Linked DNA regions of Tamandua tetradactyla. The protein of the gene in region 3 interacts with the protein of the main gene of each other region in a pairwise test. Links are inferred from orthologs where the notes say so. Each region holds a gene or a part of one and is shown on either strand. Other genes may lie near its edges.

Region 1 (6,898 bases), on a different chromosome or scaffold from region 3:
TCGTGAGTGCTCAAGAGGAATTACTGATTTTGATCCCTTGTTAAGGGGGTGGGAGCTGTGTTTTCTGATGTTTACAGTACCGTGGCATTCCGCACACTCCCCTCTTCCTTCCATCTGCTTCTCTCTTTCCCTCCAGTGGTAGCTCAGTTGGGACTTGACGGGAGTCGGGGAGGCCCCACCTGCCCCAGAGGGGATCATGAAGGCTCCAGGCAGCAGGGAGGGGGCCCCGGCCGGTGGGGCAGCCTCAGCTCCATTTCAGCCCAGCTGTTCAGGTCAGAGACATGCAGCCTGGCACCCTCCAGGGCCAAGCCAGTGCTGTGCTATTTGTGGAGTCTCTCCGGACACTCACGCCTGGGCCTGCCCAGGATCCGGCCCTTCTCCTCAGGAAGGGAGAGGTGAGCAGGCCATAGGAGAGGTGCTTGACTCACCTGCTGCCCACCTGTACCACATGGCCCCTCTAGGCCTCAGTTTGCACCTCTGAGAACGGGGACAAGGGGCTTTCAGTGGGGACTGAGCCTCAGGGCTCACCTTCATGACTCTGTACGTCAGCCTAGAGGTCAGAAGAAACTTCTGACCTACAGTCACGGAGCAAGTCAGTGACAGATCATGGGTAAGGCAGTGGTTTTCATGATCAAATATATAAATTCATAGTGTTGGGTAATAGATTCACATGGCTCAAAATTTTAAATGAGTAACCAAAGTCCCTCCCTGTCCCCTCCCTACAGGCACACTATGACCAGATAGCTATGTCCTCCCAGGATGCATATTCTTTCTCTTTTTTTTACACAAATGGCAACATGCTGTGTGTGCTGTTTCCACCCTTGCTCTTTTTACTCAATAATATGTATTGTTCTGGGTGCCACAACAGCACAGAAAGAACGTCCTTGGCCCTGTTCACAGCTGCACGGTATTATTTCCTACTCCTACTGATGGGCGCTTAGTGAGCGTCCAGTCTCTGCCCACTACAAACCACACCGCAGCATCACTGCAGCGACATCATTTTTTGCCTGGAAGAAATGCCTAGTGGGGAGACAGCTGGGTGAGGAGCACGCACTTGTAACCATGTCAGAGACGGCGGGACTGTGCTTGGTGGAGGCCATGTGAGTTGACCTCCCAACAGCATAACACACAGACAGTCTTCAATAAATGTTAGCTTCAGTTGTTGTGAAGGTCATTACACTCCTGGAATAACGTCCCAGCTGGCTGACTTTTCACTTTCTAAGGATGCTGCAGATGGGAGGGGATGAAATGGAGGAGGCAGGGGTATCACAAGGCAGTGAGAGTAACATGGACAGCCTGTTGTCAAGCACAGAGTAGCTGCTACCCATTGTCATCAACAGAGATGCCAGCTGCCCTTCGTATTAAACCACTGCCACCTTTTCATACCATTTTCCAGATGAAGGACTGAGGTCCAGCCCAGAGGCACCCAGCCTGGCTCAGGGGTTTTCTCGCCCAGCACCTCCATCCTAGAAACATTTTTTTAGGGCCCACCCCTAAAGCCCGGAAGAATTCAGGTGTTGATACTCTCCCCACTGTACAGATGGGGAAACTGAGACCCAGAGAGGGCCACAGATGTGCCTGAAGTCACACAGCAAATCAGCAGCAGAAGCACACGGGAACTCAGATCTCTACCTCCTGGTGTGTCTGTGTCTCCTCCAATCCCTTGGCCTCATATGGCCCAAATGCCAGGGATGGAGACTCTGGCCTGCCCTGGTGACATACTCTGCTTCTCCCCAGCCACAGCCCCATCCCACCCCAGGCTTGACCCACCCCCACACCTTTACTCCTGATGCTCCTTCTGCCAGGAATGTTCCCACCCAATTGGAGCTTCCCCAACCTTCAGCTCTCAGAGTCCAAATGGCCCTTTCCCAGAGCCCTCCCCAGATTAGCTCAGGGGCACTGTAAGCACTCTCAGAGCCCTCACCCCCTTCCCACTGCAGCACTGAAATTTGACATTTACATGTGTGATTTTATGCAGTAAGTGTGTGACCATAAAGACAGGATAGGATCACTATTTCTGATTTCTCCTTTTACTTTGGACTTCAGTGTGGCTTGGCATAGCACTGTTCCTGCTCCTCCCCTGTGAAGGGATCCAAGACTGTCAGATCCTATGATTCTGAATGTCTAGTATTCTAAGATTGAAGCCTGATGCACTGGGAGCCCACTCCAGATTTGCCAAATCTCACTGTGGGACTTTGCAGCAAGGCCCTTAACTTCTCAGAACCTCCGTCTTTCCATCTGCAAAAGGAGACCAACGATAGCAACCTGAGGCATATAGGGGTCCCTGGAAAGTAGGGCCTGCTCCCAACTCCACATGGGGGTGTGGTCTAACCGTCTATACTGACTTCCCCTGCCCCCAACCTGGGACAGAGTCACAAGAGGCCAGTAACGATTCCGGGGGCCAGAGCATCTGCGGCTCACCCAACATATGGCCCGGAAATGCCAGTCCCGCTTGCTCCCCCCTCCCTCCCCTACCCCTGAGCAGCGGCTGGAATTAGAACCCTGGGTCTATATTAGGGGCTGCGAGGTGGAGCAGGAAGACCTGAATTGAATTCACTGCAAGACATCGCCCGACCAGGCCACTGGCCTCTTTGAGCCGCCGGGTCCTTATTTGTGAAATCGGTACCACGCCTCCCCGCAGGTACGACACGGTGAGGACGCACACAACAGGCGATCGGTGAACAGTGTCGCCCCCTCGCACCCGAGCCCCACGCTCGCGCCCCGGACCTCCCGCGCCCTCACCTGGAACCCGCGTCAGGTGAGTCCGGGCTCCTCCAGCGCGGGTCTTGGGAAGGCTGACAGCTCGGACCCGGGTTGGTAGTGGCCGCTCCCACCGCGGGCCGGGAAGATCCAGCCCCTCGTGGGGACCCGCAGGGGCCTCTACAGAGCTGCTCTCCGCACCTGAGAAGGGCGAAGGATTCTGATCTTCCAAAGGCCCCCACCGAAGCGAAGGTTCCCTGGGGCGCGGAGGAAGGGGAAGTGAGAGCACCGCTGTCCACCCTCCCCCACCCGCCGGAATGGTTCGCCCCGGACATCCTGATTGGTTCCTCACTTCCGTTCGAACGCCGCGCCGCGCAGGTTGCCAGGCGACAGCTTAGCGTCGGTCTAAAGATTGACGCCCCGCAGCTCCGCACGCCTGACGCTTCTCTCCCCGCCCGCCGCTCGTTTTTTCCGGTGGCTGCTTTAGTCAGGGAGCCTGGTTCTTTCCTTTCGTTCTCCCTCTGCCTCTCCCAAATGGGGATTTCCTCCGGGTCCCCAGCTGGAAGAAGCACCAGTGAGCGGCTCTGGACTGGTTTCTGATGCCAGCTTTGCAGCTAAGTAGCTAAATAGCTTGGGCAAGCCCCTTCCCCTCTCTATTGCCCCGACTACACAATGAATGGGTTAGTTTTTTAAATGTGTATATCCTGCAGCCCCCAAATTTATCCTAAGGAAATGATCGAAGACGTGACCAAGGAGTGATACAGCCCCGTGTTATTCACCATAGCAAAGTAATGGAAACAAATACCCAGTGAAAGAGGATTTGTTATATAAGGTCTTCAAATGGAATAATAACAATAAGAGATAACTATTGAACTTTTTACATGCCAGGCAGCTTTATATGACATAACTGTCCGTGCTCACTATAATCCACGTAAGATAGGTGAGCATTTAACTACACCCATTTTCTGATGAGGTATATTATGCAATCATTTCAAAATACTTTAAGGACGGTGTGACGGTGGCTCAGTAGCAGAATTCTTGCCTGCCATGCCAGAGACCCGGGTTCGATTTCCGGTGCCTGCCCATGCAAGGAAAAAAAAATGATGTAGTTAAAAGATATTTAAAGATAAGGGGGAGATGCTAAGGGTGTATTAAATGGGGGGAGAAAGCATGTTTTCAAAGCAACTTTTACTGCATATAAATATATGGTAAATGCATAACGAAGCAGCCCAGGTGCATATGTATAATTATTTATAATTACAGCGATTAATTTTTTCTCTGTGCTTTTATGGATCTTCCATATTTCCAACAATTGAATTTGTCAAAAAAAAAAAAGACATTTTAAAGGGGTTAGAATAAATTAATTCCAAGGGCCCTTCAAAATGAGGAAATTTTGTAACAGTGATTCACTGGGTATAGGATTTTGCTCAATTTGGAGCCAGCTTCTGTTTCGTTCTAATTGGTATCTTTCATTTATTCATTGCTCAGCCAATGATGCAGCACTTAACTGTGTCCATAACCTGGGCAGCCACTGAATGGATGGGCACTTGACAATATGTCAGTAGCTAAAAATGATTTGTGTACCCTGGCACAAGCACCAACCAAATCAGCACAGATAGCATCATAAACAGGGAGTCTGGCTCTACCTGTGAGCACCAGATAACATGAAACCTGGCACTAACTATGCTCTTTGCTAGATTATGCTCGAGGCTTTACACAGGTTATCTCATCTGACTTCAATACAATCTGAGTAGAAACATCCTATTATTTCCTTTTTTTTTTTTTTTTTGATGAATAAACTAAGACTTGCCTGATCCAGAACCAGAGCTCTGAACCATTCTTTTGTTCCCCTGTAAATGTGCATAACTATTTGGCATTAGCTTCAATAGCAGTGTTGAGAGAAGGCAAAGAGGGTTCTGTGATCCTGTAAAACAAAAGTGAAATCTGACCAGGGGCAGATCTGGGCTTTCCACAGCTTATACTTACTGTGCCGGTTTGAAACTATTGTGTACCCCAGAAAAGCCGTGTTCTTTAGTCCTGACTCAGTATTGCTGGGTGAGATCTTTTTGATTAAGTTGTTTCCATGGAGATGTGACCTATCCAATTGTGGCTAGGACTCGTTTGATTGGGTGGTTTCCATGGAGCTATGTCTCCACCTGTTCAATTGCTTACTGGAGTCCTTTAAGAGGGAGCCATTTTGGAAAAAACTTCAGAACTGACACAGAGGAGGGACCTTTGGAGATGCAAAAGGAAAATAACCCCAGGGAAAGCTTTCCAAATGAGAAGCCAGGAGAGAAAGCCAGCAGACTTCTCCATGTGCCTTCCCAGCTGGCAGAAAAACCCCAAACCTCATAGATCCTCTGTTGAGTCAAGGTATCTTTCTCTGGTTACTTCAGTTTGGACATTTGTTATGGCCTTAGAACTATAAGCTTGTGACTTAATAAATTCCCTTTTTAAAAGCAGTTCCCTTTCTGGTATATTGCATTTCCAGCAGCATTAACAAACCAATACGCTTATACACTTGAAGTGGACGTCTTTAAAAAAAAGAGCACACAACTTCAAATATAAAATTAAGCACAAAAGTGAATAAGATAAAAAACACAACAAATAACAAAGTATTAAAAGTTGACAAATTCCACACAAAAAAAACCCAGAAAAAAATGGCATTATTGTTATTAATTAATTACCTCTTTGACATACCTCTAAAATTCTTCCCACATATTAGCTTCTGGCTCCATGTGTACATTTCAAACCTCTCCTCTATTCCCCATATACTTCTAATGTCGGGTACTGTAAGCCCATTCTTGTCAATATGACCTCTGACTTTGTACCTTCATGTCGCAACACCAGTTGAGCAAGCATAGTGTCTGTGGTAGGGTAGGGATATTCCTGAAAGCCATTCTTATATCAGGTCAGTTAGTAATAATTTATTCACAAAAGTGACTGGAAACAGCATAAATATATCTACTAAACCCAAGCAAATGTGTCCTCAACTCAAAGTCCCCTTAGCCACATCCCCAATGTCATCCAACCTACCCCCAACATTACCTACGGCAAAGAGAAGTTGGAGTACAAAGAGATGGTGGTTTGAGCAGAGTGCAGCTAAAATATCTTACCTTGGCAAATTTTGCAAAAGCATATGACCTTGTGAACACATTGCTAGGGTGCCTCCCAGAGCTCAGCGTCCCCATCATTAAAATGGGAATGACAGCCATGGTGTCCTGGTCAGATTCTTCTCTGAGATGTACACTTTTAATCAGGGGTTGGGAGATCATTGAGATGCCTTGATGAAAGGCCCTGCTGACATCTTCAATGTTTCCCTTTGTCCTGCAAACCCTCGGGCTTAAAATAAACAAAACTAAACAAAAACTCAAAAGCTCATTCCCAAATGAAGAAGTGAGGCAAACAAGAGTACAACAAACTTCCCCGGGACCCCAGATTATGCCACTGAAGAGAGATGATATGGGTGCAGTCAGATTTGAGAACTTTGGACATCTGCATCTGCCAGCAGCATATTGGCAATGTCCCCGATCATCAAGGACCTGTTAAGCACCCAGTGCCAATTTGGAGCGATTGACAGTGTCCCAGGCCTTGTCCACCCCCAAGGTGGGGGTATAAGAATAAGAAGGTGGACAAGCTGTCATGAGCTGCGCCCGGAGCTGGGCAGCCCTGATGGCCTCACCCTGGCCCAGCACGATTGAACAGCAATAACCTCTTGCCCTGTTGACAGGCCCGTGGCTCGTTCACTGTGGGCTTCGTCTCCTCCAGAGCCCTGAGCTTGGTAGATTTTTCTCCACTCAGCTCAAAATCCAGATGATATCAGCCTCAGATGTCAGCTCTGTGTCTCCATCAGCCTCAGATGTCAGCTCTGTGTCTCCATTAGCCTCAGATGTCAGCTCTGTGTCTCCATTAGCCTCAGATGTCAGCTCTGTGTCTCCTGGGTGCCCATGGCTGTGTTTTATTTTGTTTCTTTTAATCTAAAGGGTGTTATTGCCATACAAATTTGCTTGCATCTAACTTCTCTGGAAGTGGAGGTTACTGGGGTGGCTGGGACACAGGGGAGGGAGGAAAGCTTTTTAGAAAATAGTGTTTATGCCTTTGGATTTTGTATCTTGTAAATATATTATCTATTAAAAAAAAACATATGTGTGGAAAGCAGTTTGGTGGTTCCTCAAAAAGTTAAACATAGAGACACCAT
Region 2 (7,867 bases), on a different chromosome or scaffold from region 3:
TCAAAAAATAAAATTCTTGATTCCAGTCCTCCCAAAACATTTCTTCCATCTCAGTAAATGGCACCACCATTTAACAAAGTCATAATCAGCCCAGAATCTTTCCTCTATCTCACACCAACCTGTTAGCAAATCCTCCAAATTTTGGATTTCTACCTCCAAAATATTGTGAGTCCATCCGTTCTCTCCATACCCTCTACTACAATCCTTGGCCAAATCATCATCATATCTTGTCTAAATTATTGTTCTTGCCTCCAAAATGGTCTCTCTTACTCTGTTACCCTCAAATCTCATTTCCACACAGCAACCAGAGTGACATTTTTGAAACTCAGATCAGACCATTCCTCTGCTTTAAACCTCTTCCTGCTTTCACTGCAAATAAATTCAGTGCCTTTACCTCAGCCTACAATGCCAGAATTCTGGTCCCAGTCCACCAGGACAGCCATATTTTATACCATTCTTCATCACATACACTTCAGTCCAACTACCCTGGTCTTTTACTCAGATCTTTGCATACTCTGAATTCTTTCCCACAGGACCTTCCCATATACTGTTTCCTTCCCCTGAAAAGACCTTCACTATCAGACCACTATCTTCATTCCTCAAACCTTGGCTTAAATCTTACCCCTCAAAACAATCTTCCTTGGCCACCTAAATAAGTATTCTCGGTGTTGTCCTCTATCCTCCCAGCCTGATAATATCTGTCATAAATGCTGTAACTTCATAACTGCTTTAATAATTTGTCTTGTTTATTATATAGTTTTCCTATAGCCTGTAGGCTGCGAGAGGGAATATACCAGGCCTCTTTTGGTCACAACCATGTACCGAGCGCCCAGCAGTTGACAAATATTGAGTTGGCGCTTTCTATTTGCTGAATGAATGAGTCAGTAAACAAAGAACTCTGAGGGGGTGGGGGCCTGTTTGTGGGGGGCGTGGCCTCCTTGGGGGCGGAGGAGTCTCCCCGCCAGAACCCCGACCGGAAGCCTAGGCGGGGTTTCCCAGAGCGGGAGCTCAAGAGTCGCGGCTTCGCAGCCAAAGCTGGGACTCACTTGCTTCCTCCCGGAGCACTTTCCTCACCCCGAACCCTGGCTCACCCGAAGGCACCTCTCCCCACCACTCGGATGCGTTCGTACTTCTCCATCTTATTTCTCAGAGTCGCACTTCCGGAACCCCCTCCCTCCAGACACGGCGCATGCGCAAGCCCGCCCTCTGTAAGCCCCGCCCCCGCACTGCTCGGGGTTTGTAGCGCGGAGCAAACCGAGCTCAGCTTTTGGTTCAGCTCCGCAGTCCTGGTGTGCGGGTTTCCAATAAACTCCCGACACCGAAGCCGGCGACCGTTTTTTCCCCATGGCCCCGCCCCTCGCAGGACTCAGGAAATGAGACGATATGCCGCTGTTTGGCGCACCCCCTCTCAGTGACCAGCACGGTACCTGCTAGTTGTTACACGTGGCAGGATCCGGCCCTTGCAAAGCCGGATTAGACAGGAGGGGTGCCTCGCCCCCAAAGCTGCCCCTCCGACTGGGGAGGTGTGCAGGGGTAGGAAGCAAGGATCGACCTCTCTGTGTCCAAGAGTGATGCTGTTTGAGAAGGAGAGAACAGATTCTCATCGGCACGGAAATGACAAACTGAATCGAAACTGAACGAGAGCGTCAGCGTTCTGTCTGTGGAGCAGGGAGCTGAGTTGGTTTCGTGTTTTCCAAGGGAGGGACCGGGGAAACCCCAAGTTGTGCAGGTTGATTCACCTGGAAAGGACGTGATACCGTCTCTGGTCCGTCCGGATTAGTGAGCACCGCGCTCGTCAGCACCCTTTAACTTCCCCTTCCATACACGTCACGCTGCAGCAAGGGTGATCTACCCTGGGCGCTCAGCTAGAGAAAACGTTCCCGTGGAAGATGGGAGGGAGGAGGACGCCTATCTGAACGCGTCGGGGAGAGGAAGAAAGACCCCCGTTTGGACTGATGGGTTCGAGGCTTCTGGTCAGAGGTAGGGTAGGGGGCTGGTTAGTATGACCGTTTAGGGTCTTGACCGACAGTCCGTTGAGATCTAAGTCTCTCTGGCGTCTCCCGCTCTGCGAGAGCGCCACAAAAGCTCAGGAACCAGGGGAAGGAGGCTGTTGATTAGCTAGGGGGTAGATTCCCTACTTCTGATTGGATGAGTAATGTTGAGGAAAGGGGTGTTTACCTTCTGCTCCAGCCCCTCAAATGGATACCCGAACCCGCCCAAGTGGAATGACTACTGGAAGGACCTATGAGGGCCCCCGACTGCTTGGCTGGTGGATAAAACTGTCCTGTTAGCAAAGGGCAGCGCAATGAAGGAAAGCCGTCACCCGAAACATTCGTGCTCTCACCTAGAAACAGAGCAGGCCTTGGTTGACCCAGGAGCCCCAGAGGGGTTAATGTGTAACCTTGGAACCACGGGGAGTAGAGCAAACATCAAACGGCTTGGCCCTTGGGTCTCTGGCGCTTCAAGCTTCTGGCTTCACCCTCCCTTTCACAGCACCTTTCTCCTTCCTTCCGTTCTCTTTGCCTCACCCCTGGCTGTCAGCGGCTCCTCCCCCAAAAAGCAACTCGCGCGAGGAGGGCGGGGATCCGGCGCCACGGTGAGGACAGGCTGACACCTAGTGGCCGTAAACCGCAACTGCCCCAAGCCACTGGCCTGAAGAGCGAAGGGTCACCCCAGCAGCCAGAGCAAATTGACCGTCTTCCCCGTCCTGTCTCCAGGGGGCCGGGAGAAGAGGGCTGGGACTGCCTAAGGGAGGCTGGGACAGCCACCGGGCCCCAGGAGCCCAAGGGCGGGCTGGAAGGGTGATGATGGGTTAGTTCGTAAGCACCTCCTCGAAGCAGCGAGCGGTAGAGTCAGGTAAACATGTCCCTCTCTAACCTGAACAGAAGTTAGTGGTCCAGTAGAGGAACGGGGTTGGGGGGAGATCATTGTCCGAGGCGAGGCTCCGATTCCTCCCTACAGACCAGGGAGATGTGGGTGTGTGACGGACCCCGGCCCAGCTCGGCCCAGGAAGGAGTTGAGGGCGGGGAGATTTTCAGAGTCTCCGCCCAGGGCGGGGAAGCCGGTGGCTCCGGGGAAAGTGGGGACGCGGGTTAATGAGAGCAAGCAAGCGAGGGCGGGAGGGGACTCCATCGGCAGTCGGGAGGCGCCAGCGCCTCCAGGACAGCCCCTCCTTGCCCGAAGTTCGCTAGGGGCCAGGCGCGGCCTAGGAGGCCCCGGGGAAATAGTCTCTTGTTCTTAGCTCTACAGGGACGCCGGAGGGGCGGAGGCAGGCGGCCAGGGCTAGGCGGGGGCTCGGGCGGCTGGGGGCGGGGGCAAATGGCTGCGCGGGGAGGGGCCGGGAGGAGCCAAGAGGCCTAGAGGGGTTTGCGAAACTGAGCGAGGCTGTTGGCCGGCGGGAAGGCCGGCAGCGGCGGGAGAAGCGTTCGGGGCGAACCGGCCTGAGAGGGAGCCCCGTTCCCAGAAAAGCTTGAGGAGGGCGCCTAGAGGGCAGAGGGCAGAGGGCCGGGAGGGCCAGCATGCCCCCACTGCTGCACCCCGCCCTGCTGCTGGTCCTGGGCGCCACGCTGACCTTCCGGGCACTCCGACGCGCGCTCTGTCGCCTGCCCCTACCCGCGCACGTGCGCGCCGACCCCCTGCGCACCTGGCGCTGGCACAACCTGCTCGTCTCTTTTGCCCACTCCATTATGTCAGGGGTTTGGGCGCTGCTGTGGTGAGTGACCGACTATGGGAGTGAAGGTGGCTCGGGAAACTCGTGCGGGGCGCTGGGACTGGCTCCCGCATTACCTCTCCATAACTCACTGGTGGGCGGAGGCCCTGCCGTCTCACCTGATTCCCCGCTTGGAATTGTATCCAACCAGCAGAGACCGCAGCCCTTGGGAAGGGGGATCTCACCTGGGAAACCCGAAGCACCCAGGATTCCACCTAGGGGCTCCTCGCTCCCCAGGCAGTCAATGGAGCGAGAGACTGGTCGCTATTCCCCCAATGACTGGCAAGGGTAAAGAGGAAATTGAGTACTGAAATGGGAGCCTCCCTACTCCTTTCCAGTGTATGGCAAACTCCGGAGATGCTGGTGGAGATTGAGACGGCATGGTCGCTTTCCGGCTATCTGCTCGTTTGCTTCTCCGCAGGTAAGTCTTACACAGGAAAGAATTTGGTGGGAGGACAGGGAGAATTCTCCTCGGGCTCCTTTCATGATGCCTTCCCCATCCTTCTGCTTAGGCTATTTCATCCACGACACAATAGACATCGTGGTGAGTCGTCAGGCACGAGCTTCTTGGGAATACCTTGTCCATCACGTCATGGTGAGAAGCAGGGCCTCTGGTATATACCTGGTATAGCCAACTTAAGAGTCACAGCCTTTCTGAACCTGGGGAGTAGGCCATCATCTTTTGAGCCGAGTCCCACCCTTGTCCTCTGTCCCTCATGCTATAATACTGAGGGCTGGCACTGCTCTTGTGCCCATATTCCGCGTTTTAGGCCAGCAATCCATGGCCTCACCTAATTAACTCCCAAGCCAGGACAGGAGTGGAGATTCTATCATGAATGAAAATAAGCACCTTACCCACAGTAAACTTTATTCCAGGATGAAACATAATCAAGGAGGAATTTTCCAGCCCCCAATTTGATGTTTGGTTAATTCCAATTTCCAGGCAAGTTTTGGCACCTGGGCTCTTTAACCTGTTCCCTCCCTTGTCCTGTAGGCCATGGGTGCCTTCTTCTCAGGAATTTTTTGGAGACGCTTTGTTGGTGGAGGTGTCCTAACACTACTGGTGGAGGTCAGCAACATCTTCCTCACCTTCCGCATGATGATGAAGATCAATAATGCCCAGCACCTCCTCCTCTACCAGATCAACAAGTATGTCAACTTGGTCATGTACTTTCTCTTCCGCCTGGCTCCTCAGGCCTACCTCACCCATTTCTTCCTGCGTTACATGGGCCAGCGGACCCTGGGCTCCTTTCTGCTGGGCATCCTACTCATGTTGGACATGATGATTCTTATCTACTTTTCCCGCCTCCTCCGCTCTGACTTCTGCCCCAAGAGTGTCCCCAGCCAGCAACATAAAGACAAATTTTTGACTGAATGAGAGCCACAGGGCCCAGGACAGCTAAGGAGAACAATCTTACAAACTGGACTTGCTCCAAACCTGGGGCATTCTCTAGGTCAGCCTCTCCACTTGGAAAGTCTGCACCCACACTATTGAGAAAACTAATGAAAGCACTCCCTCTGAAGTCCTTGTCCTTTCTTGGGCAAGGGGTGAGGGAAGCAGACAAACCGGTTGGATGGGTGTGTGAAGACGGGTGCTACCCAAAAGCCAGCCAACACATACTGCCCTGAAATGGATGCTAATGAAGGCTGAAATTATCCCCACCCCACCCCAAACTAGCTACTGGTTTAATGCACACAAGGGGTTCTTATCCCTATGATTGATGTAGCTAAAGCCACGTGACTAACCCTCGTCCCTGGTACCTAAGTGACTCCTGGCAGGTTTGTTACAGTGAGTGTGGTGGGGTGAAACAGTATTCTAAGAGGGTAGTAGACCAGAGTCTTCCCCAAGCCCTATATCTAAGATGTGTACCACGCTATGGTTTTCCCCAACCCAACAAGAAACTGAGAAAGACAGGAAGCACATATATGGTCAAAAAACATATATTTAGAATTTGCCAGCCGGACTCAGGTTAGATGATTCCAATCTGAAAAAGAAAAGGGAGCTTTGTTACTGGAAAATTAAGTTGGAATGTCATGGTTAGAAAGCAAAATGACGGTAGGGGTTGTGTCAAGGACAGTCAGTTAAAACTAATCATTTAAAGTCAGGCTTTGGTCGCTAACAGATGCATCATTTATACCTGGGGTGGAGGTTAAGGCATCTATAAAACACAAAGCTTACTTTGTTGGCAACATCCAAAGCATCATAGTCAGGAGCCAGCCGAACATATGCCTTCTTCTCTCCATCAGGCCTGGGGTGGAAAAGGAGTCTGTTTTTGCTGCCCTCACTGTCCCACCCAAACCTCCTCTCCCTCCCTGAATCCTTCTGGTGCATCAGTGGTTCCTTTGTTCATGTCATTTTTTTCCAAATAGTGATTTTTCCATCATTTGCACAGACTGTGGCTAGACAATCCACTAAGCCACAAATGAACCCAATTCCTTTTTATGGGAAAGGTCAAAGGATCCAGGACCTTTTAGCACTCAAACTCGGGTAATCTGACAAACTGTCTTACTCTATGCCAACAGATGTAGGGACAAAACAAACAACTGAACAACAACCACAACAACAAAACTCACACACACAAAAAACAAGCACCAAAACCTCACAAATCAATTCCTAAGGAGAGGACAACTGATGCCCCTTACAAAGGAGTACAATCACAGCAACAGCTGCTCATTTCATCAGGTCTGCAAACCATCCACCCTACTTATAACTCCAAGAGCAGCATCAAGGAATTTCATGTCATTTAGGCTCTTGGCTGTGGTCCCAACCTCCTCCCCACTCCATGAGGCTCCGCTCACCTGATCAGAGTGTTGACCTTGGCCACGTCAATATCATAAAGCTTCTTCACAGCCTGTTTGATCTGATGCTTGTTGGCCTTGACGTCCACAATGAACACAAGAGTGTTGTTGTCTTCAATCTTCTTCATGGCTGATTCAGTGGTCAGAGGGAACTTGATGATGGCATAGTGGTCAAGCCTATGGAAGAGATAAGATGGGGTCAACTGGCCAGGGCCCAGTAGGGGCCCCTGTTTTGGAACAAAAGGCCAGGAAAGCACAAGTGCATCAGACAATGATAGCAATCATTTCTGTCAGACTTTGGTCGCTAACAGGTGTCATCATCTGCACTCTAAAACCTAGGGACCTGGAGCTCTCATCCTTTAATTAAGGAATCATCTTGAGTCCCAAACACTTTCATATTCACTATCTTATTTGACCTCAACATACCTAAAGGTCAAAGTAGAGTTTCACAGGAAGGACTTAAGAGGTTATGCAACTTCCCCAAGAGCACAAAGCTAGACAATGGAATCTTGAAACCCAGGCCAGGATTATACAGAATGCTAGTGCTCCTCTGTGAAGCCAGACCAACTTTTTCTGCCCCATTTGGTTGCTGAACGCTGGCTCTATGCTCGAAGGCCACCAATTTTTAACAGCAACTTTAATTTGCAGCTCAGTTTAAACTTGGTGGCTTGTGTAAACCTAAAACACAGCATTTCCCCTGAAATTCAGACAAGCCAGGCTCTGCCCACCCAGACACTACTATGCAGTTAAGAGTCAGGTCTCAATTTATCATTCTAAATTCTAGGTCGAATAGGAGGAAAAAAAGTCTTTCATCAACACAATCCATTCTGCTGTCTTTCCTTAAGCAGTGGGAGTGGCAAGAAACCCATTGGTGACCCCCACCATGGCTAATTAATTTCTGATCCCCAAAGCCAGTTATTAGCAGTAACTTAACACCAAAACACCGAAGTGTCCCAACCTTTCCTTAAGCACACCGTGAAATTTTGGGAGAAGCGTATGAAAAGCTTTCTGTGTATTGTTGTACTGAACACCAGACCAAGATAGAAAACTTCTAAGTCCTACTCGATATTCCCAAGAAAGCGGATTTTCAAGCCCTGACTACATATGAGCAGTAACTAACGCGAACAGAAAATCTGAGCGACTCTGAGTTGATTTAAACAGAATTTCTACCAATATTATACAGGGGCAGTACTGACTTGTTTCTCCTGGGGGCGCTCTTCCGAGGATATTTGGGTTGTCTTCTCAGACGCAGCGTCTTGGGCCGGCGGAATGTTGGTGAAGTGCGGATCTTCTTTTTTTTGTGGCTGTGAACACCTTTCAGTACTGCCTTCTTGGCTTTCAAAGCCTTTGCTTTGGCTT
Region 3 (7,036 bases):
GGGATCATGCTGAATCTTTAAGAATCCTTCTCCGGCAACTCCCCTCAAGAGTCTTTAAAGGCTCCTTGCGCCTTTAGAAAATATCCAAACCCCATAACATAGCACCCTCAAGTACTCATAATATGGCCTTGATTTTCTTTTTTGAGTATGAGTTCTCACTTCTTCACACAACCATGTACAATAGTCATACCAACTTACTCATAGTAACGTGCCCTGTGGCAGCTCCCTTCAGCTTTTGTTCTTATATTCTATAAGGTCCTTGCTCTTGCCTAGATCTGTACCTTGACTGCCTACGATGTGTGAAGTGCCTCGTACTGTGTTTTGAACATAACAGGTGTCATTATTAATATTTTCTTGCTCAGATTCATAACAGAGACAATGTAAGGCATGCCTCCACTGAAACAAGCCCTTGATACCCCCTAGTGCTTATACTCCAAATTCCTGTCATATTTACCTCCCAGGGGAGCTGAGCTAGATGATGAAGTAACAAAAGTCAGTGTCCCCAAACTAATCTATGGTGATAGTATTTAGAACAGTGATTGCCTATGGGGGATGGGATTGACGGAAGAGGGCACAGGGAACTTTCTAGGGCAAGATATGTTCTCTATCTTGATTGGGATGTTAGTCACATCAATGTATATATTTGCTAAAACTCATCTAATTATACATTTAAGATCATTGTATGTGAATTCAACCTCAATTTTTTAAAAAGTAAGAATCCTCTTTGTCTTTTTCTTTTAAAACAAAGATCAAGAACACAAATTTCTACAGGAGCTTGGCAGGTAAGGGAAACGTGAAGTGGCTGGGTAAAATACGATAGGGAGTATTGAAGACTGAGGCAAACTGGAGAGCGTATGCTCTTTATCATGACCCCAAGGAATAATGCATGCAAAAGCAGAACCCAAAGAATTTAATAGGTACTTTACGTATTTCAATCATTAGCCAAATTTGTGACACACTATGCTTTGCCACAGAGCAATTTACAGTCTCCAAAGTAGGATGCACAAAACGATCTATTGAAATGTGGGATGAAAATATTGAGAACACTTTTCTAAATTTTAATTTTAATTTTCATGTTAGTTTTCTTACTTATTTTACTTTAGAACAGAAGAAGAGACCAACAGTAGGGTGTATACCACATTTATCTTATATATCCTGTGCCAAGTTAAGTAATTGGGGCCTAGGATATGGGCAACGTTCCAAAGAAGACGAGTAGACAGACAAGCAGGAATGGACACTTCACCATTGGCAGAACTGAATCTCTAAGGGGGGAAATCAACACTGCTACAACCATAGATAATCAAGAAAAGAACAAGCTTTTATTGACATCTCAATCTCAGGAAAAGAGAGCAGGGATCGCTCCCCTTCCAGTTCTAAAGTTCAGACTGAGTTGTGAGTGCTTTGTGACTCTGCAGAGGAAGTGGGGGCTAGTGGGGGGTCTTCCCAAAGCTCTGACCCACTCAGCTACTGAAGCAGCTGGGATGATGATGAGGTAATCTTTTTGTTCACAGAGAAGTATGCTGACCTGCTGCTTAACTGACCAGAGTGGCAAGCACACCTGTAAAGCCAGGGTGAGGGCAGCCCCTCTCTGGCTTGGCAAGTTGCAGAAAAGTACAGAACAATGACTCTAGAAATTTTGTGCCTGGGTATCTCCCGAGGTGGGCAAAGTCCCAGGAGAATTCCTACCCATATACCACCCCCTTCACCCTCGTAGTTAGAGAAGTAGTCAGAAAGGATTGACTTCCTTCCACTCCTACAGAATCAGAAAATCCAGAGAAACCCAGAGGCAGCAACCTGCCTAATCCATTAATTAGAGTATAGTTTCCATTAATCTAGCCAAGACACATTATAGTGGTTGCTTAATCAAGAATGAAATGTATATCTCTCTTGATTAAGAGTTCAAACTTGTATGGTAGCTCTGATCTGCAAAGTTGTCAGTCTCTTAGTTTCCTTCCGTCTACTTGCTCTATCATGTCTAGGGTCTTGTCCTCATTTACATAATCTAAAATGGCTACATGCAGCCAGCTAAAATTTTATTGCTATGAGAAATAAAGGGTAAACTGCTTTGAGGGGTAACTACCAGTCTCTGGTGTACTAAGACAAATGAAGTATGGCCCTGCAGCATGAAACCAAAGAAAATAAAAAGTAGCATCTCATAATACATGGGAATCAAAGGACATTTTTCTTTATTCCAGATGAAAATTTTTAAAGTTAGACTTTTTGAGCTCAGCGCATTGAAGGTCAAGACCCTATAATTCCTGCACAAAGACATGGAAAAATACCCAGCAGGGTATCTGTATATAGCAACACTGTTTGCATCATATATAGATGCAGAAGTGCTGGTGGCTGATTTTTACCAAATAAATTGGGCAAGTTTTAGTATATTTAAGGGAAATGTAGAGACACTTACTATAGAAGATGTGGTCACATTCTGTAGAATAGATGCATCAACTACTCTGTTCAATCTCCAAGTATCCATCCGTGCAAATTCGACATTGGATATAATCAAAGAGCAGGCGACATAAAATTCCTTCTTCCAGGAAATTGTGGTGGGCACTATTAGTCACATACGCATCTCTGTTCCTCATCAGCCATTCCATCACTGCTTACCACCCTGCTGCCAGTATGGCTTTGGAGTGGCCTTGTGGCTCTACAGATTCACGAGTGAGGTCGATCACTTCCTCTCCATCACTTCCCCTGAATTCTATCAGTTCTGCTTCCAAGACCATCTCAGGAGTTGTGCTTCCTTCCCCATCTTGCTTATGGGCTTGTCTGGAATTTACCATGCTACCACAGCATATTCTTGTAATCATTATGCTTTTTGGATCCAGCCTTCAGAGAAATAAGCGATCTGTGCCAAAGTTTAGAAACGAATGTTAAAGTTCTTAATGTCTCACCGATATGGGTTAGTTACTCTAAAAATTTTAAGTCCAGATTTTCCACTATCTTTGAACTCTGATTCTGATTCCTGTTCTATCTCCACCCCCACAACTGTTGTGATCCTACAAGAGTGGATCTTCTGGGGAGCCACTGATGAGACAACTCAATCTGAACTTTTCTCTGAAAAAGTAAGAGAAAAATTAAACTTTAGAAATATCTAAAATAAAATTGATAGTAGTATAGCAAAGTTGATATTTGTAATAACTTTTTACTTGATATTTTGAGAATGCACACAGTTTTGATAGTTAATCAAATGGTATTTAAGATACTGTTTAATATTTGGAATTCAAGAAACTCCGATATCTGTATTTATAGATTTTTTTTCATTCTTTGCTTTAATTTTAAATTGGTTTATGAAACGTATTGTACAAACAGGCTTTGCAATGATTACTTAGGTTTTCTTTAATATGCCTATGGATAAGCTAACTTAGACATCCATTTTAGGTGGTTAAGATTTCCATAAGTTGCCTGCCCAAGCAAAAAAAAAAAAGGAAGATTTCCATATGTTAATTGTAAAAATATTTGTATCTTCATATTTTCCTGACAGCAGGAAAATGCTTAGTAACATAAGTCATTACTATAGCAATGCAGATATTTAAAAGAACTTTCTACTTGATATTTTGAGAACATTCACAGTTTTGACAGCTGATCAAATGGTATCTAAGTTAGTGTTTAATACTTAGAATTTAAGAACTTTGCTATCTGAATATATAGATTTTTTTCCTTGTTGCCTTAATTTTAAATTGGTTTATGAAACTTACTATGCAAACACAGGCTTTACAATGATTATATGGCTACTTTATTTAAATATGTCTATGGTTAAGCTAAGATATCCATTGTTGGTGGTGCTAAGTGTATTGTTTGTCTTCTTAAATTAAAAAAAAACTAACAAAAAAGATTGATAGTAATATATATATAAAATATATAGTGTTTTATATATATATATGAAATGCATGCACAAAAATTTCTGATACTGGTACATTATAATAAAGTTATACCACTGTTATATACTATGGCTCTTGAAGCTGAGTGCCACTCCCCACTCCATTTTCTGATGGTACTGGGGAGAATGAGGAGGCCAAGGGGCACTTACCTCAAGAGAAACACCATTAAGTACCGAGGAAGGGTTGCTACTTCATCCAAGAGTCAGTATGAGGATTTTGAGGAAGTGCTTATTTTTTTTTATGAAAAGATATTTTATTACTATTTTACTATACAACATATTAGTAAGTACACCAGATTACATTTTCTCATATGGCAAATGAGCCAGAAGATAACATTTCTCTTTGATTCCTAATGAGAACCTGAAAATCATCTCTTTTGTGGGATTTGGGTTCCTTCTACATAGGTGATACTGTCCATGAGGATATCATCGGTGCTTGGTGGTAAAGAATATTTTGCTAAGTTGTTCTATCATGAGTCCTTGCTCAATATGTTCATCTTTTCTTCTACTCTGGTTCATGTGTTTCTTCGTTATTATGCACAGGATCTGACTGAAGGATAGGTTTTGGGTGCTCATATGGAATATCCACAGAAGAGTGATAGTATACCTTCGTCCTGCCATTGGATGTCAAAGCAAGGTCTGCTTTGCAATTATGATCATCTGGAAGAGAAGAGTACATAGATTTAGGAAAAATACAATATAAAGCTCTATTTTGGACTAGAAACAAATGTTTCAAGATAGTTCTGCTTGATATCACACATTTTATTGCTGCTACAACCAGGGTGAATCAAAATACTTTGGTTTGCTAAAGCTGCCAGAATGCAATATATCCGAATGGGTTGGCTTTTTCAATGGAGATTTATTAATTATTTATTACAAATGTATAGTTCTAAGGCCATGAAAATGTCCAAATAAAAACTTCATGGAGAAGATACCTCCTCTGAGGAAGGGCTGCTGACATCCGGGGTTCCTCTGTCATGTGGAAAAGCAAAAACAACGTTTGCTGGTCCATCTCTCCTGGGTTCTGGTTTCAAATGGCTCTCTCCAAAATGTCTCTGGGCATTTCTCTATCTATACTCTCATAAAAGCCTCCAGTACAGGATTAAGAGCCACCTTGAATGGGCTGGGTCACATCTCAGTTGAACCAAAAGGTCCCATCCACAATAGTTCTGCCTTTACAGAGACAGATTAAGAGAACGTGACCTTTTGCTGGGCTACATAATAGCTCCAGACCAGCACAGGTGATATAAAAAAAGATGTTTAAACAGAAATTGTCTTTAAAATCTGCTTTTAGGCATACCTATTTTAATGCTCACTATTCTGCTAACAGGTGGCATGGAGAGACACAAATCTATGTCTTTTGACTACAAACCTTCATAGATTATCACTGTGAACTGGCCATCTTGTCCCCAGTGCTTATTTTTTTATAAATGTAAAATTGGAGAGACCAACAAAGGTGTTTGTACATTTGAATTTCTAATAGCAAATAAGGAATGGACCATTTAGTCCATGCAGAGTTTTCATGTTGCCTAGCATTCTCTTTCTAATAAAGGCAACAATGGTGTTTTGAAAGTTTTATCCTAGATTCTGTTCTAGGAAGAGGTGGACATTTTCAAAGCCTTAGAGCTGTAAATTTGCAACTTAATAAGTTCCCCTTTTAAAAAGATGTTCCATTTCTGATATAATGCTTTCCAGCAGCTTTCAAACTAGAGAAAATTTTGGTACTGGAGAAGTGGGGTGCTGTTGTGGTTTGCAAATACCAAATATGTTGTAACGACTTTTTAAATGGATAAGGGGAAGATTTTGGAAGAATTGTAAGGAGCTTAATAGAGAAGGCCTGCAGTGCTTTGAAGATACTGTTGGTAGAAATGTGTACTCTAAAGATAACTCTGATAAGGCCTTAGGCAGAAATGAGGCATGTGTTATTGCAAACTGGAAGGAAGGTGACCCTTGTTTTAAAATGGCAAAGAATCTAGCAAAATTCACCACTGGTTTTAGATGGAAGGCAGAATTTAAAAGCCATGAACTTGGCTATTTAGCTGAAGAGATTTCCAAATTAAATGTGGAGAGTGCAGCCTGGTTTCTCCTTGCAGCTTATAGTGAAATGCAACAGGAAAGAGATAAGCTGAGAACTGAACTTTTGTGTATAAAAAAACAAAATTGATGGTCTGGAAAATTCTGAGCTTCCAGAAAGGGAGACTCCAGAGAATAGTGCCCCATGTGAAGATTTAACCAAATGTGGAACCAGTTAGCTATTTCAGAAAAGGCTAGGATTGGAGATGGAGTTACCCAGTAAGAATCTGTGGAAAGTCCTTTTGTCTGATGGGCACGATCCCAACCTATTGAATAGGAAACCAACAAGAATGTTGTGGGATCTGAATAAATGGAACCACTACCAGTCTGGATTAAAAGGAATAGAAAAGGGACAAATTGAAGGAAAAATAACTTCAGAGGCAGAACTATGGAAGCTAAGGTCTGAAGTCAAGAAACCAAGGGCCAGGAAAACAGATCCACCCAAGCACTTGGAGAGGGTGAGTTTTCCTGGAAGCAGAGGGTGGGCCTTCCAACTCACTGAAGTGGAAGAGTTGTGCTGCCTCAGGCCTTGGACAGGGTAGAGCACATTCCTTGGGGATTGGGAAAGCCTGACTGCCACCCCATTGTTTCGGAGGGGTTGAGCATGTGCCCCGGAGATGGCAGAGAGCTCAGGTGCTGCCCTGATGCTTGGAGAAGGTGGAGCTGAGAAAAAGATGGTCTCCCCAATGTCCCCCAAGGTTACATTTGGACAGAGCCTGGTGGCTACATAGGCCCTTGGAAAGGATGGGAATGCCACTTTCCAAAGCCCTGAGGATAAATGACTCTCAGACTTTGAAATCTAATGGCATTTGTCCTACAGATTTCCAGAACTGTTTGAGTCTTATGACCCCTGTGTTCTTTCCAATTTCTCCCTATGGAAATGGGAATATGTATCCTATGACTGTCCTTCCTTTGTATATTGGCAGCAGATAACTTGTTCTGAGTTTTGCAGGTCCAGAGCCAAAGGAGAATTTGCCTTAGAACACGCCTGTAGCTGACTTTGATGAGATTTGGTACCGTTTCTGATTTTGTATTGTATTTGTATTGTTACTGAAATGGTTTAAGTCTTTCTGATATTAT
Region 4 (7,453 bases), on a different chromosome or scaffold from region 3:
GCAAAGCAGGGTAGTGAGCAAATGTACCACTTTGCTTCTGCCACTGAGCCCCTGAGTGCCTCAAGGAGTAAGGCTCTTACCCAGAGGAAGGAGCACAGCCTCCGTAGCAAACCTTTCATCTCCTACCTCTACCGTAGATGGGGCGGGGGGCGGGGGGGAACCGGGGGTTGCTCTTGATGCCAAGAACACTCACTCTTTTTCTTTGCTGTGATGCCAAAGAATCTCTAAATTGCTCCATAATCAGGTTTACCGGTCAAACACTCCTAACCACATCTGTAGTATAAAGTCTTGTGGCCTGATTTAGCATGAAGGTATTTTTCCAGCTGTTTCTCTAAATAAGTTACTTTGTTGTGGTGGTGGTTTGATTTCAAAATCTTTGCAAATGGGCCTCAAATGATTCAAATTACGAATGAGTAAGATCTACTTGCACACCTCATCCTCCTTCCTCTCTTCAGCATGTCAGGGCCCTTGAGGAGCCATGTCCATGCAGGCGGGTGAGGCAGCTATCCCAGTAGACACACTCTGAAGGTGAAGAAGCAACTTCAGGGCTGAGGAGCTGCCTGAAGGACATCCCATTTTCTACAACCTCAGCATAACTCTGCTCCCTGCTTAGGCCAGGACTACATTTCCAGGGGAGCAGGCGGGTGGGTGTGACCTTCTAGGAAGAAGACCTCTGGTCAGCGCTTCGATGCCCTTCTATTGGAGTGAGCCCATGCCTGGACTCATTTATCTGGCACTTGAGTTTGGACTCTAAAGCACTGATCCCACTGGGGATATCAGTCATCCACTCCTATCTGCAGTAGGGTTGGGGCTGGGAGGCTAATGCAAAGACATTGGCTAGAGCAAGCAATGCTATCCTGCAGCAATAGAGTAAGGGTGATAGAGTTTGTTTTCTGAGCCTCTTCATCTCTTTGGGGTATCGCCAGGCTGATTTTAAGTCTCCCCCAGTGGGACCCACTCAGGCTTGAACCCAAGGGCAATGACTTCATTCAACTCCTTCCCCTTTCCTAACATTCCCTCATCTAAATGTACCTGTCTTGCATCCCAGAAGCCTGCAATCTTACAGAGGTTCTGCCAAACCAACATTTTAAATTAGCTAGTCAAAAAAATTAATCAGTGGGTGTGCCCAAGGGTGACACACTTACTATTAATTATTAGTACAAAAAAGAAAAACAATGCTGGCAAAGTGCATTCCCTCCCAGAGCAGCAAAATGCTGACCTTATATAGAGATTTTGGAATGCTGTGCTGATAAACCAGCGCTCCCGGGGAGGAAATTTTTTAAATCCCAGATTTAGAACACTTGTCCATTTCAGTAGTATAAAGTCTTCCATTGTGGCCTGATTTCAAACTCCAGATGATTTAGCACATGACCCAGACAATTCCTGAATATTTATCAGTAGTAGCTCCTGCTAACCCACATAGGTGAGCTCTTGGTGGGAAAGCCTGGACCTCAGCAACTAGTGGGCTTTCAGAGGTGTGAATGGGTTGACCCTATTTGGAGGAGCAGTGTAAGGGCTGGGACAGTCGTTGATGGGTTGGCACGAGGGGGCACTGACCTTGGAGTGCATCCGTCCTGACTGGCTGACTGTCAGAAGCAAGAGGCTGACGTGGATAGTTGGCTTGTTAAGCGTGCTTACTGAATTGCCATTGACCCCCTGACTAGATTCAAAAATGGTTCTGACAGCTACTTATTACCATGGGTATATAACAATCTGTCATTCCCCAAGCTTGTGGGAACATTTTTATGCACAGGTGACACCCACGTAAGTTAAAAAAAGGCTTTCTTTGCTGAAATGGACAACCTGGGACATTTAATTAAAATTTCAGTTAGCATGAAAGCTTTTGGATGGCCAGTGACACTCAAGGTAGAAAAGTCCGCTGCCACCTCCCCTAAAACTTCCATGAATCTGGTACTGACTAGAGAACTTTTGTGTTGGAATTTCACTTGTTCCAATAGGACAACCTGAGGCTTTCTCTTTGAGAAAGAAATAAAAGGCGTCCAAATTGGAAATGAAGAAGTAAAAATTTCCCTATTGGCAGATGGCATGATCCTATACACAGAGGATCCTGGAAAATCCACAACAAAGACGCCAGGGCTAATAAATGAATTCAGCAAAGTGACAGGATGGAAGACCAACATTCAAACCTGTACAACACAAAAGCAAACTGTAATGTGGGCTAAAGTTAACAGAGGAATTATTATACTATCATGTCATCAATTGTAACAAAAACACACTAATGCAAAATGCTAATAAATAGGGAAATCTTCACATGCAAAATGTTAATAATAGGGATATCTGTGCATGTGAGGAGGAGAGTAAAGGGAAATCTAACTACTTTCTACATGATTTTTCTGGAAACCTACAACTGCCCTAATAAAAACAATTTTTTAAAATTAAGAAACAACTTCTTACCCCGACCCTCTGCCAGCCCAGTGTGAATCTTCAGAAGGATTTAAAAAGTCACCCCAGGACTGGAGCCAGGGAGAAACGCCTACCCTTGAACAGCTTTTACGATAAGAATCCTGGAACCAAGGTGGGTTTGTGCCAGCAGATGCCAGCAGATGCCAACTGCCCACCTGAGAGGAACAGTCTGTCTTTGTCAAACACGAATCCCTTTGCACCATTCAAGGTGAGGTTGGGCCTGACTTGCCCATGCATCTTTCTCCCCATAAGCCGGGCCATCAACCTGCACCGATAAAAATGCTGAATGCCGAAGCCACACAGCGCCGCGCGTCTTTACCTTCTCCCTGGTGGTGGAGACTGGTGTCATCCTTTAAATCTTCGTCCACCCAGGGACGGGACTGGGCCCCGGCTCCAGGCTCTCCCTTCCTTCTCTCTCTGCTGTTGTCAGCATTTTTAAAGATCCACCCCACCAAGATGCAGATGACTGCCACCAGGATAGGGGTCAGACACAGCATGGTGCAGAGTCCAAACCGGTGCGAGCACGCACTTCTCACCCAGGTGTTTAAACAGAGACCAGAACAGGAACTTCCGGGGGTGAAAGAAGGGCTGAGGGGTGTGCCAGGGGGAAGGGATGAAGTGCAGAACCTCCCAGCCCGGTGAGGACTTAGCAAAAGAGCAAAGATCACAGAGCCGTGGGGTGTGTGCTGTGGGTTTATCCTTCCCGAGTACAGTTCACTTTTGAACATTTCCTATCGATCAATATAGTGTTAGGCAGTAGCTTTTCTCTGAGAGCTGTGTCTTCAACTTGCCAGAAGCTCAGTATAACCTGGAGAACTTGTTTTGTAAAGAACGCATTTCCAGGTACCAACTCAGAGCTGGGGAAAGACATTTTCAGTCAAGAGGCATGGTAATCTGCATTTTAAAACAGCATGCTTGTGAAACATAACCCTAAGGCTAGTTTTTATTATTATCATTATTATTTTAATGAAACCTGGAAATTTGAGCCAACATATGGAGTAAAGAAATTCTCATGTTTTGCATTAGAGGAAAAAAACTTAGGTCCAGGAAAAGTGACACGAAGTGTCTAGTTAAAAAGACAGCTTGATTAATTACCTACTTAATACCTTGCTAACTAGAGATATTACTTTTTTAGCAAGGTACAAAGTATGCATAGTGTGATTCCATTTCAGTAAAACAGAATGGAAATACTATATGAGTGTGTGTTGTATATTAATAATATTCCTTCAATTTAATATACTATAAAAATTTTTAAGTGGCTGTATTGGGACTTCTTTGTACTAGCTTTGTAACTTCTTATGAGTCCATATTTCAAAGGAAAATAAAACTTGGTTACCTGTTTTGGAGAGGTGTGGTATTTTGGTTTGCTAAAGCTGCCAGGATGCAATATACCAAAACTGGACTGGCTTTTACAATGGGGTTTATTCATTTACAAATTTACAGTTCTAAGCCTATGAAAATATTCAAACTAAGGCATCAAGTGGAAAGGCTGCTGGCATTCAGGGTTTTTCTATCACATGGGAAGGCACATGGCTGGCATCTGCTGATCCTTTGCTCCCAGGTTCCATTGCTTTCAGTTTCTGATTCCAGCGGCATTCTCTCTCAGCTCCTCTGTGCATTTCCCTCTGAGCTCTCTCCCTTTTCTTGTCTTTTATCCTCTCATAAAGCGCTCCAGTAAAAGATTAGGACTCGCCTTGAATGGACTGGGTCACATCTCAATTGAAATAACCTAACCAAAAGGTCGCACCCTCAGTAGGCTTGCCCCACAGGAATGGATTGAAAAAGCATGCCTTTTCTGGGGTACACAAGAGTTTCAAACCATCACAAATGCTAACCAGGTAGTTGGGGAATAAGGATGAGAGAAATAGAACTTTCATTGTATAGTACTTCATAATTTTAAAAATTTTAACCATTATGAAATTATTACCTATTCAAAAATCAAAATATATTTTAATAGTCATTTTTGATGACTCTAAAAATAGTTAATAGACAGCTAATTTTTTAATGTGTCTTGTACTGGTTCTAATTCCAAAGATCTGTGTAAAAAATTGAAGGCAAAGTTTATTCTAGAAGAACTAGAAGTGGTATGAGAAGCTTGAAATGTGGTAGCTCTGCTTGCCATGTTCACAGCATTTCATGAGGAGATTCCCCTCCTGCCGAAAAGGCATCAACGTGCCATGTCTGCTTTCACATGATCCCATCCACACGGAGCCCAGCACAGCCTGTCCTCACAGAGGCAGCAGCCCATGCTATGGCCATGCTAGTCTTTACATTCCACTAAATATACAGAATAAATGCACCACCCAGTAGCATGAGAGAAGCAGAACAAATGTACAGAGAGAAGCAAGGTCCCTGAGGATCAATGCCACAGCCTCTGAGAGAGATGCAGAGTGGAGGGGCTGTTGGATATGAGAATCCAGGTCTGGCCAAGTCTCAGTCCAAGTGTCTCCTTTCTCTCAAAAAATCAATGCAATCTTCTGCTCCCATAACCACAAAACCCAAATCATGCCAGTGTCAGCAATGGAATCAAACCTGAAGCAAATGGGAGGGATGGGATTGATGACAGGCCAGTGGGGGACGGACAGGGTGGGAAACCCTCCATCTCAGGATAGAGAACCAATTACCCAGGAGGTACAGTGGCTTAATTAGGTGTGGCCTGAATCTCTCCACTTTCAGACCACAAGCCCTTCAAAATGAATCTTTGGGGATTCTGTGACCATCGAGAACCCTAGGACCTAAGGACTATAAGAACAACTATGCCGGATGGTAGCTTTTCATCATATTTGGTGACCTACAGTGGGAAAAGAAGACTCTTGTCCTGGATTGCTTAGCTCAGGGCAGAGAAAGAAGGACAAGATGATCATTCATTCCCTCCTTCATTCAGTGTATATTTTTGAGAAACCATGTGAGAGGATTTGCTTTCAATACTAGGCGCAAAATAATGGGCAGAGCAGACACAGTACCTGCTTCACAGGGCCACAGGTTAAAGAGGACACAAACAAGATCAAGTCTCAAATTCATGTCACATCCCCACTTTCATAAGAAATGTTAAAGAGCAGCGAGAGGAAGATTCAGCCTACTTGTAAGTTTTCCAGTGGAAGGAATGATGGAGCTCACGTCGGAACTCTGGGTAGGAGTCACTTAAGCAGAAGGAGAAGGAGCACTGAAAGCAGGGGTGATTGTGTAAGCAAAGCCTGATCCCTAGAAGGAGCCAGCACCTCCATGGATTGGGTGGTCAGTCTTTGGGGATAGCAAAAAGGAAGGTGGGTGCTAGATCATATCATTCTGTGTAGGGTGTGGATAATTTTGTCTTTACCCTAATAAGAATGGGACATTGGGATGGGACTATGGATCAACAGCAGCTGGCATTATCAAGAGCTTACCATGAGGTTCCAGATTCTCTTCTGAGCATGTTATGTCCTCAGTTCCTATATACCTTCCAACAGCTCCATACTAAAAGTCCATTATTACCTACAACGCTTGAATGAGGAAAATGAAGCAGCACACATGCCCAAGGCCAGGCAAGCTGTACCCAGAGCCCTGTGCATTTTATTCCCGTGAAATATGTCTCTAATGGTTAGAAAAGACCACTGCATTAGAGAGAAGGATCAGGTAAGGGCAAAAACAGAAGTACCAGTTGGAAAATTACCATCTCAGTTTAGGTAGAAAATGATTGCCAGCCTGACCTAGCTCATGGTGAAAGTGCAGACAGCAATGAACTCACTACATATTTGGACGGTTCAGTCCACAGAGCTTGCTGATGAATTTGACATGGAGGGTGAGAAAGACACTAAAATAAGTGTCAGTGGTGATGTCTAGTGTTTCAGCTTGCAGTTCAAGATGGATTGGTGCCAATGGTAGAGAAGCAGCTCTTGGGGTGCTGGGAGTGGGAGAGGGAGGAATCACAGGTCCAGCTCTTTACACAGCAGAGGGAGGCATCTTTCAGCCATCCACATGGAAATGTCAACTAAGGAGTAGGATCTACAGTTCTAGAGCTTAAAGGAAAAGGTCAGACCACACATACACATTTGGAAGTCTATAGCACAGGAGTGATAACTAAAGCTGTGGATGAAAAAGAGGTCCTCCAGGGTATGTTTGGGGGAAAAAGAAGCTCACCCAACACTGGGGTGAGAAGAATAATGAGGGGCGCAGATGTGAGGAGCTGAGGGAGCCTGTGGTAGGTGAGAAACTCCTGAGAACATGGAGCTGATAGCCTGGTTGGGGAACGGCTTAAGGGAGGGAGAGGTTGTGGCTTTCCATGGGAGGACGGCAGAAAAGAAATGTTAAATGTTCAGTAGTAGAATGCTCACCTTCCGTGCAGGAGTCCTGGATTCAATTCCTAGACCACGCAACCTAAAAAAAATTTTTTTTAATTAAAAAAAATAAAATAGAGACAGCACAGAGAAAAGAATTTGGCAGTTGTTACCAGCTAAAGATGAGAGGACCAGACAGTGGAAGGAGCCAAAGAAGGTAATAATGGAAGACGCCCAAGCTCCCATTCTAATACCGAATGTGCCATGCAGGGCTTGTCTCAGCTAAGAGTGGCCTTTCCAGGGCTCCTGTTCTTAGATGTCCTCAAGATCATTCCCCTTCCACGCCATAAGGATTCCTGCTGTACCCACCCAAGCTGGACCCAGTGAGTCTTTGTGGACCTTTACAACCAAAACAGTCTCCACAGCCAGGGCTTCCCCTCATCCAAAAACCAAGACAGCAAAATGCTTCATAGTCGCCACCAAGCTTTATGATGACAGCTTCTGATAATATCATGGTTTCAGACTGGTGTCTACTATAGAAGCAGAGCTTGTGTGGGTTCAGAGGGACCAGACGGATGACTTCTGGTCATTGTTTTCCCAACACATTTTTCCTCGTCCAGTTAAGAGAGGGGAGCAAATGCTAAGGACAGGCGCAGTGGAGGGTGACTTGCCTTTTTGTATTTTTTTTTAGGGTGATTTACTTTTATGCCACTTATTTATTTTTATTATTTCCTTCAGAATCAGTGTCCATTTAACCATTTCATTTCCCTAAAGGG

Evidence for each region.
Region 1: the proteins of TRIM69 (region 3) and FAM110A interact in binary tests that used the Homo sapiens proteins (3 or more experiments, as listed by UniProt). The two-hybrid records come from large-scale screens. The link is inferred for Tamandua tetradactyla from reciprocal best matches to the Homo sapiens genes TRIM69 and FAM110A.
Region 2: the proteins of TRIM69 (region 3) and NEK8 interact in binary tests that used the Homo sapiens proteins (3 or more experiments, as listed by UniProt). The two-hybrid records come from large-scale screens. The link is inferred for Tamandua tetradactyla from reciprocal best matches to the Homo sapiens genes TRIM69 and NEK8.
Region 4: the proteins of TRIM69 (region 3) and IYD interact in binary tests that used the Homo sapiens proteins (3 or more experiments, as listed by UniProt). The two-hybrid records come from large-scale screens. The link is inferred for Tamandua tetradactyla from reciprocal best matches to the Homo sapiens genes TRIM69 and IYD.

Annotation. Positions count from the first base shown.
Region 1 is NC_135327.1:22,723,177-22,730,074, reverse strand, and holds the start of FAM110A (protein FAM110A), read right to left. Parts: upstream 3,002-6,898; 5' UTR 2,743-3,001; intron 1-2,742.
Region 2 is NC_135332.1:51,919,681-51,927,547, reverse strand, and holds the start of NEK8 (serine/threonine-protein kinase Nek8), read right to left. Parts: upstream 3,007-7,867; 5' UTR 2,431-3,006; coding exon 2,345-2,430; exon of another isoform or gene 1,575-2,344; coding exon 1,428-1,574; exon of another isoform or gene 1,139-1,427; coding exon of another isoform or gene 1,092-1,138; exon of another isoform or gene 1-1,091. Other genes in the region: TLCD1 (TLC domain-containing protein 1), read left to right, coding at 3,519-3,712, 4,048-4,130, 4,222-4,304, 4,704-5,087; RPL23A (large ribosomal subunit protein uL23), read right to left, coding at 5,680-5,694, 5,889-5,958, 6,509-6,685, 7,705-7,867. UniProt on the Homo sapiens protein: Required for renal tubular integrity. May regulate local cytoskeletal structure in kidney tubule epithelial cells. May regulate ciliary biogenesis through targeting of proteins to the cilia.
Region 3 is NC_135340.1:59,105,877-59,112,912, reverse strand, and holds the start of TRIM69 (E3 ubiquitin-protein ligase TRIM69), read right to left. Parts: upstream 3,006-7,036; 5' UTR 2,411-3,005; exon of another isoform or gene 1,923-2,410; intron 1-1,922.
Region 4 is NC_135328.1:141,842,802-141,850,254, reverse strand, and holds the start of IYD (iodotyrosine deiodinase 1), read right to left. Parts: upstream 3,014-7,453; 5' UTR 2,922-3,013; coding exon 2,744-2,921; intron 1-2,743. UniProt on the Homo sapiens protein: Catalyzes the dehalogenation of halotyrosines such as 3-bromo-L-tyrosine, 3-chloro-L-tyrosine, 3-iodo-L-tyrosine and 3,5-diiodo-L-tyrosine.